Linked DNA regions of Canis lupus familiaris. The protein of the gene in region 1 interacts with the protein of each later gene in a biochemical or structural test. Links are inferred from orthologs where the notes say so. Each region holds a gene or a part of one and is shown in the gene's direction. Other genes may lie near its edges. The genes, in order: MAGEF1 and NSMCE1.

The links.
Region 2: the proteins of MAGEF1 (region 1) and NSMCE1 form a complex in vitro, tested with the Homo sapiens proteins (2 studies listed by BioGRID). The link is inferred for Canis lupus familiaris from reciprocal best matches to the Homo sapiens genes MAGEF1 and NSMCE1.

Annotation. Positions count from the first base shown.
Region 1 is NC_049255.1:17,712,499-17,716,300, reverse strand, and holds MAGEF1 (melanoma-associated antigen F1), read left to right. Parts: upstream 1-1,484; 5' UTR 1,485-1,682; coding exon 1,683-2,657; 3' UTR 2,658-3,182; downstream 3,183-3,802. UniProt on the Homo sapiens protein: Enhances ubiquitin ligase activity of RING-type zinc finger-containing E3 ubiquitin ligases. Proposed to act through recruitment and/or stabilization of the E2 ubiquitin-conjugating enzyme at the E3:substrate complex.
Region 2 is NC_049227.1:19,537,708-19,541,522, forward strand, and holds part of NSMCE1 (non-structural maintenance of chromosomes element 1 homolog), read left to right. Parts: intron 1-272; coding exon 273-419; intron 420-3,815. UniProt on the Homo sapiens protein: RING-type zinc finger-containing E3 ubiquitin ligase that assembles with melanoma antigen protein (MAGE) to catalyze the direct transfer of ubiquitin from E2 ubiquitin-conjugating enzyme to a specific substrate.

The DNA of each region.
Region 1 (3,802 bases):
GTTGAGCCATGTGATGTTGAGGAAGTTACTTAACCTCTTTGTGTGTTACTTCACTTATAAAATGGGGATAATAATACCACTTATCTAGCAGGGCTGTTATGACTTAGATATGTAAATACTTAGCACAGTATCAGCACATTAAAATATGCAATAAATAATAGGTAACATTTATTGAACACTCAATATGTGCTGAGTACTGCATTAAGTACTATATATGCATTACTTCATATAATCTCCATACTGTTGTGACTGCTATTATACCCATCCTATTGATAAGGTAACTGAGGGGCAGGGAGTTTAGGTAACTTGCCCAAGATTACACAGCTGGTAAATAGCAAACACCATGGGAAAGGACAGATCTATAAAATGGGGATGATGTTAACAGTGACTTAATGAGAATTAAACAAACAAATACTTGAAAAGTGGTAAGGACCAGGGCCTAGTACATAAGGTCTGTATAAGAGGATGTTAAATAAATGTAAATTGCTATGTTGATTCAGGGATGGCAGTAAAGAACTTCCATGCATGGAGATTAAGGAAGGCTTTGTGTTTATTATTATTATTATTTTTTTAAAGGAAGGCTTTGGAAAGGTGACATTTAGGCTGAGCCCCAAAATGAAAGAGAGGAAGGAGGCAAGAGGGAGGGAAAGTGAGAAGGTGAAAGAGGCAAGAACTGGGGGTATGCAAAGAAGTCATGGGAGTAGTTTGTGACCCCTTTCCTGCCATCACTATTTCTGCCAGCCCTATCCTCCTCTCACCCCTGTAGAATCTGCGATCCTCACCCCCTCATCAACCATCTTGCAATATTTATGCAATAGTATAGGTGCCAGGCACTGTGCTGGTGCGGGGCTACAGCAGTGACCGAGCCAAGCCAAGTCTCCGTTCCTATTCTGCGCTCTAACACGCCTCCAACCTGGATTCCCAGCACTTGGTCGTCCCTACTTGCAGTCCATCCTCCTCCGCACCGCCACGGCCACGGCCACGGCCACAGCCACGGGGGAGGGAGACTGTAAAGATAGGAGATCTGGTCTGGACACTACTCCCAACTCCCAGTAGTGGTTTCCCAGCGTGTTTGGAGCACATGTCCATCTCCCTGGCATCCTTTCCCGCGCTCTGCACCTGAGCCAGGATTATCACTCAAAATCCTGGGTACACAGACTTAAAGTAAGCACTTGTTGATAAGACGTGCCTAAAAACGCCACGCCTATCGCCTGCCGCCTCGCCCGTGGACACACTCCCACTCTGCAGGCCTCGGAGGAGCAAGCGCTGGTTGGCCTCCTGCAGCCCCGGAGCCCAAGACTCCGCGCAGAGCTCACACCTCCCACCGCCCCTGGAGCGACCCCACAGCCGCAGGGCGCCGGAAGGGGCGGGGCCTCGCGCGGCCCGGGGGCCACCATCTTGGCTGAGCTGGCCGGAAGTGGCCCGGCGGCCCGGCGCGCAGGCGCACACGCAGGCTGCGCCGGGGCCGCGCGCGGGTCGGGGGTGCCGGCGGCGTTGCGGCAGCCGTTGCGAGCCCCGAGCGCGGCGGTGCGGCTCAGCGTCCCGAAAGCACGCCTCTGCCCTCTCGCCCGGTCCTCCTCCCGCTCCCCCAGCCTCTGTCCCGCCCCCCCGCCGGGGCTTTGCGCCGCGGCTCGCACACCCCTCGGCCCGTGCACGCCCTCTGCACCTGCCCGCCCGAAGGCATGTTGCAGAAACCCGAGAGCGGGGCCCTCCCAATCCTCCGGGCCGAGGGGGAGAAGGATGGCGGCCGCGACGGTGAGACCCAGGCCCTGGCCGCCTCTCAGGAGGCCGCGAGCCCCCTCCTGCAGGAGACCCCCGGGGAGCATCTCGGCGCCCGCAGGGAGGAGGGGCCTGCAGAGCCCGCCCTCGCCCCGAGAGGCGCCAGGACCTTGGCAGCCAAAGCTTCGGCCCGGCGCAGGGCCTACCGCCGCCTGGACCGGACGGTGGCCGAGCTGGTGCAGTTCCTGCTGGTGAAGGACAAGAAGAAGAGTCCCATCACTCGCTCCGAGATGGTGAAATACGTAATCGGAGACCAGAAGGATCTGTCGCCTGAGATCATCGCAAGGGCCGCAGAGCACCTGCGCCACGTCTTTGGTTTCGAGCTGAAACAGCTTGGCCGCAAGCAGCACACTTACATCCTGATCAACAAACTAAAACCTCTTGAGGAGGAGGAGGAGGAGGAGGATCTGGGAGGAGGTGGCCCCAGATTGGGTCTCCTAATAATGATCTTGGGCCTTATCTACATGAAAGGTAATAGTGCCAGGGAGACACAGGTCTGGGAGATGCTACGTCGGTTGGGGGTGCGTCCCTCCAAGTACCACTTCCTCTTCGGGTACCCGAAGAGGCTTATTATGGAAGATTTTGTGCAGCAGCGATACCTCAGTTACAGGCAGGTGCCTCACAGCAATCCGCCCGAATGTGAATTCTCTTGGGGTCCCCGGAGCAACTTGGAAATCAGCAAGATGAAGGTCCTGGGGTTCGTGGCCAAACTCCATAAGAAAGAACCCCAGCACTGGCCAGTGCAGTACCGTGAGGCCCTGGCAGACGAGGCCGACAGGGCCAGAGCCAAAGCCAGAGCGGAGGCCAGTATGAGGGCCAGAGCCAGGGCCAGAGCCAGGGCCAGGGCCACTGAGACGGCTGGCATCAGCCCCTGGTGAGGGCTGGTGGCAACGTGGCCACCAGGGTCTTGGTGGTCGCGAAAAAGCTACCGTCATAAGTAGCATCATAAGTAGGTTGTTAATTAGAAGTTGTATCTGTGTAACTAGGATTTAGGTTTTGTATCTTGCTATGTTTTGTTACAGTTTACATACTGTTAACATTGATGTTTATAAATGAGATTGGTCACCTTTTTCCGGTAGGATTTTGTTGTAGGGTTTTGCGGGTTTTGTAAAACGAATCGAAGACTTCACGTTTTATTCTGTGATCTTGAACAAATGACGTGGCGTTGTAATGCTGTACATTAATGAGTCGATGGAACTCAGCAGTATGGATCACCTGGTACCACGAGAAGAATAGCTGATTGGTGTCTAGCTTCCCAGTGCTTTTTGTCTATATTGTATAAAGAGAAAAGACTGACCTGTACCTCTATTTGTAGCTATTATAGTATCTCGAGAAAAATGCAAATGTAGTAACTTAGAACTATACCCTGACACACTCAATAAATTAAACATTTGCTGAGTGTCTTTTTTTATGTGGTGTTTGGGGGCATTTGGGGATAGAATGCTGAACAAGATAAAGGTCCTACATTCTGGAACTGGGGATTAAGAAAATCAGAAATTACAGAGCAGCAAGTTGAAGGCTGCAGAGGGACACCTAACCCATCTGGGCTGGTTGGTGAGGCTTGGCTAAAATTACCTTCAGTCAGACTTCAGGGGAAGTGGGGAAGGATGGGGCACGCAGAGGGGAGGGAAAGGAGAAAAAGAAGTTGAGGGAGGGAAGTGGTATTGAAAATAACTGAAGGGCACAGGTGCTTCTCAATAACAGGGGAAGAAGGCTTGATACATAGCAGAGCTGGAAAACACCCTGTCTTTGCCAGTGGCAACTCATTAGAGCACACAGTGATGGTGGCCGTTAGCATTTTGGGCCCTTCCATCCGCCTTCTCAACCTCTACAAGGTCCCCTCTTCTACCAAAGCTGTCAGAGACCAAATACTCTTAACAGTTCTGGAACACTGTGTCCTGTGGGTGGAGGGTATGTACTGACATTCCCTACTACCAAGAAGTTCCACTTCAAGATTTCTCCCCTGGCACGAGGCAGCCTTGGGCCCTCATCCCTGTTTCTACCGGCTGCTTTCTACCTGCCA
Region 2 (3,815 bases), on another chromosome or scaffold:
GGTTCTCCAATTTTACTCATTTAGATGGTAGGGTAGGCTGGGTCCAGGCGTGCTGGCTGGCTCTGGGACCCACGTTACTCTTTAGTAACTGCTGGTACTAGTTGGCTTGCCCCTGACTGGTGTCCTTTTCATTTTTGGGCTATTCGGCAGGATGCTCTTGAGTCTAAAAACTATAACAAATGGCTAGTTGTGAATGTAAGTTAGTACAAAATATAGAACCTGGCTTTCGGAGCGCTCAGAGGTGAATGGGTTTTGTTTGCTTCTTTTCTTAGCTCCTTCGCACATGCAGGGTGGTACTAGAAGAGCGGGTGTCATGACTGATGTTCACCGGCGATTCCTCCAGTTGCTGATGACTCATGGAGTGCTGGAGGAGTGGGACGTTCGGCGCCTGCAGAAGCACTGCTATCGAGTCCATGACCGTGAGTATCATTTCCCCGTTCCCAGGATGCCCTGGAGCTGTGCGATCAGGGACTAAGACACTGGGATAAAACAACCTGGGTGGTCAGGTCTCTCCCATACTCTCACACCAGCCTGTGCTTCTCATCTCGGCTTTGACTTTACTTTTTATTTATTTACTTTTTTTAGTAAATCTAATAGTTAGCCCAGTGGGTAGGAATTTGGACTTTGAAGCTGTTTAATTGTGGTTCACACCAAGGCTCCAGCATCTTCTCTAGCCTGAACTTCTTCATCTCTCACATGAGGATAATTAATCATCCTTGACACCATAGGTTCAGAGGATTAAGAGACAAGATACATACAAAGTGCCTGACCCTGGGGAAGGTGCTCATTTAGCTGTCAGTGGTTAGAGGGCAGCTTAGCACAGGGGGTCAGAGCGTGGCCTTGGACTCAGCCAAACCCAGAGATAATGCCACCCTGTCCTGGGCCAGCTGGGAATTTGGAGCATCTTCTCAGTGGGTTGCTGAGATGGGATGTAAGATAATACACACAGAGCACTCAGCGACCAGACCTGGCTGAGTTTTCATTAACTGGAAGTCACAGTAGAAACAGTAGGATCATTGCTGGCAGGTCAGTAAAATCAATATTGGTAGCTCAGGTTGAGTGGAGTGTCAGTATGGGTAGATCCTGTTGAATGAAAAAGAAAGTGGATAAATTATACTTATTGTACGATGTCACTGTGTTACGCTTTTTGTAAAACATAACAAATTTTTTAAAGATTTCATTTATTTGAGAGAGAGAAAGAGAGAGTGCGTATGAGCAGGGGCGGGGTAAAGGGAGAGGGAGAAGGAGACTCCCTGCTGAGCAGGGAGCCCAATGCCATGCGGAGCTGGATCCCAGGACCCTGAGATCATGACCCAAGCTGAAGGCAGTAGTTTAACCTACTGAGCCACCCACGTGCCCCAACTTATAAATACTTAACATCTGCATGTAAAAAAAGTAAGAGTGGACCAGAAGGCTATGTAACACACTTGTGAGGTGCTTGCCTTTGGGGAGAAATCAAAGGACACTCATCTTTATTCTATTTTGCTCTTTTATTAAAGAAAAGAAGACTTGAAGTAAACATGACATTCATAGTATAGTCTGATGATCATCACTTCTGATTAATGGGAATACAGGTGGTTATATTCTGTGCTTTTGTCTTTCTGAGTGTATTTTCTGTTTCCAAAACAAGAGTGGAAAGCACAGAGAGGTGAGCCAGCCAGGAGGTGTGAGGAAAGGTGTGCATGGGGCACTGGGTTTAGGGGTGAAGGCCCATGAGAAGAGGGGCCATATATGGAGAAGTGCCGAATGTGGCATGGGGGAGGCAGAAGCCAGATCTGAGAGAGGTGAAGGGTGGATGGGAGCAGGAAGGGCGAGCTGGTGGGTACAGAGACACATATTCTCCCAAGACGTGCAGAAGGAAGATGAGAGCTTACGGGTTAGGGCAGAGGCAGTTTTGGAGAGACTGGCCCCTTGAGGTATGCCACATGAAATTCTGGGAGCTGGCTGGTACACGCTAACAAATGAAATGCCTGCAGGGATCCGACAGTAAGGAAACCTGTTGAACTCCATTTAATCCCATTTATCTAAACCTCGTTGACCTCCACTTGACATACTTTGGGAAACCCCAGATAGGAACATATGATGTGTGGGAACAGATGCGTCTTTGTGGTATGTGAGTCTATAAATCAGGAAGAACCCATAGTATGTGCACCAGAGTAATGGGGTTTCTTATGTACTTAATTCTGAGTACAGTGTGGACGTCTGAAAGGACTTGAGACGGGAAAGGGACATAATTAGTGTTGTGCTGGAAAACTATTTTTCTGGTAAAAACATGTCTGTCCTACTTGCCTGTGTTGGGGTGGATAGAGGTCTTTGGTGAGGGCCTCTATTAGGGGAAGGGAATGTTACACCTGCCAAGCCAGCCTCTCTCACTCCTTAAAAAAGCACAACAGGATTTCCACCCTCCCCCTCAGAATGCTCTGGTGAAGGGCATAAGAATGTTTTTCTTAGTCTTTTATCCCTTCCTCCTCCCCTTCAGTTTCTCTTGTAAGTCCTAAATGTGGGCTTTAATGCTAATGGGGAAGTTTCATAGCTCACTGCAGGGAGCCACATGGTGCCTTAGTACTAAGAATGAAAGTGTTTTTGCCTCTGTTTGACCTTTAAAGTTGTTATGACCTAATTTAGGAAAGTCCTGTAGAATATATCTAGGAATTAATTTATTATTCACACTTTATGTGCCGTATCTGTGCATAAAGAAAGATATCAAGATATGCTTATGGCTGGGCTAAATGGGATAGAGCTGTAGTTTGCTTTTCCCTACACCCTTCATTTAAAAAAAAAAAAGCTTTCTCTCAAGCATTAATGTTATTTCAGAGATTTTAAAATGAGAGATGATGGAAAGAAATGATCTCAAATTAAATAAATATAAACATCATTAATCTGTCTTTTGAAAAGATGCCCTGGAAAGTCCCCTTTTACCAGCTGGAAAAATATTCAGCTTCTAAGATAATTATGAAACAGGAGTAATTGAATCTGTGAGTTATTCTGATTGTAGTTTCCCATGGTCTTTTGTCCAACTTATCAAACATGCTTCCTATTCTGGGCTCTGGTTCCAGGTCTTACCATCATTAAACTAGAAGCAAATTCCCCAGTTATCTGGGTTAGGGAGAGTTTATATTTTGTTGTGATGGGCTGGTGTAAAGCCTTGGGTCTGGGCTTTCTAAGTGGCATGGAGGGCCTATGTGCCCTCTGAGGGCACCTGGGGTTGTGAGCTGGATCTTGTGTACATGTGTGTGATCATCTAGCACCTCTTGCTGTGGCATCATGGAGGCCAGGTCCCTGTGCTAGGGACTGGTGACACAGAGACAAAGCTCTTGCTTCACCTTGGGTTTCATGAATCATGCAGATGCAGAATCATATGATTCTAGTATAAGCCTCCTTTAATGGAACTAGGCACAGGAAGCCTAGGGAGTGGTGGTTAAGAAGACCTGTGTTTGAGGATTTCTACTTTTGACCAAGGTAGAGCAACAGGGAGCAGTTTACCTTCCTGTATGAAACAATTAAAAATAAATGAAACAAAGGACATTAGTCAGTGAAGGACAGTGAATCCTTGAGAGATAGGGAGTGAAAGTTTTTTTTTCCTTTCCTGACACCAAATATGTGTTGTCTTTTCCAGTACTTCCTCCCCAGTTCTCTGGATGTTCACTGGATGTCCAGTGGTTCAGCTCAGTTCTGACACTGTTTACCTGGAGTGAGGGTCAGATCTCATGGTTAAAGGGGTTCAGCCCTACCAGGCTGCCCCACTTCAGATGCCAGTCTCAAGTCCAGGCCTCAGTACTTCTGACCAACCAGCTATAAGGTCAAGTCCTATGGTC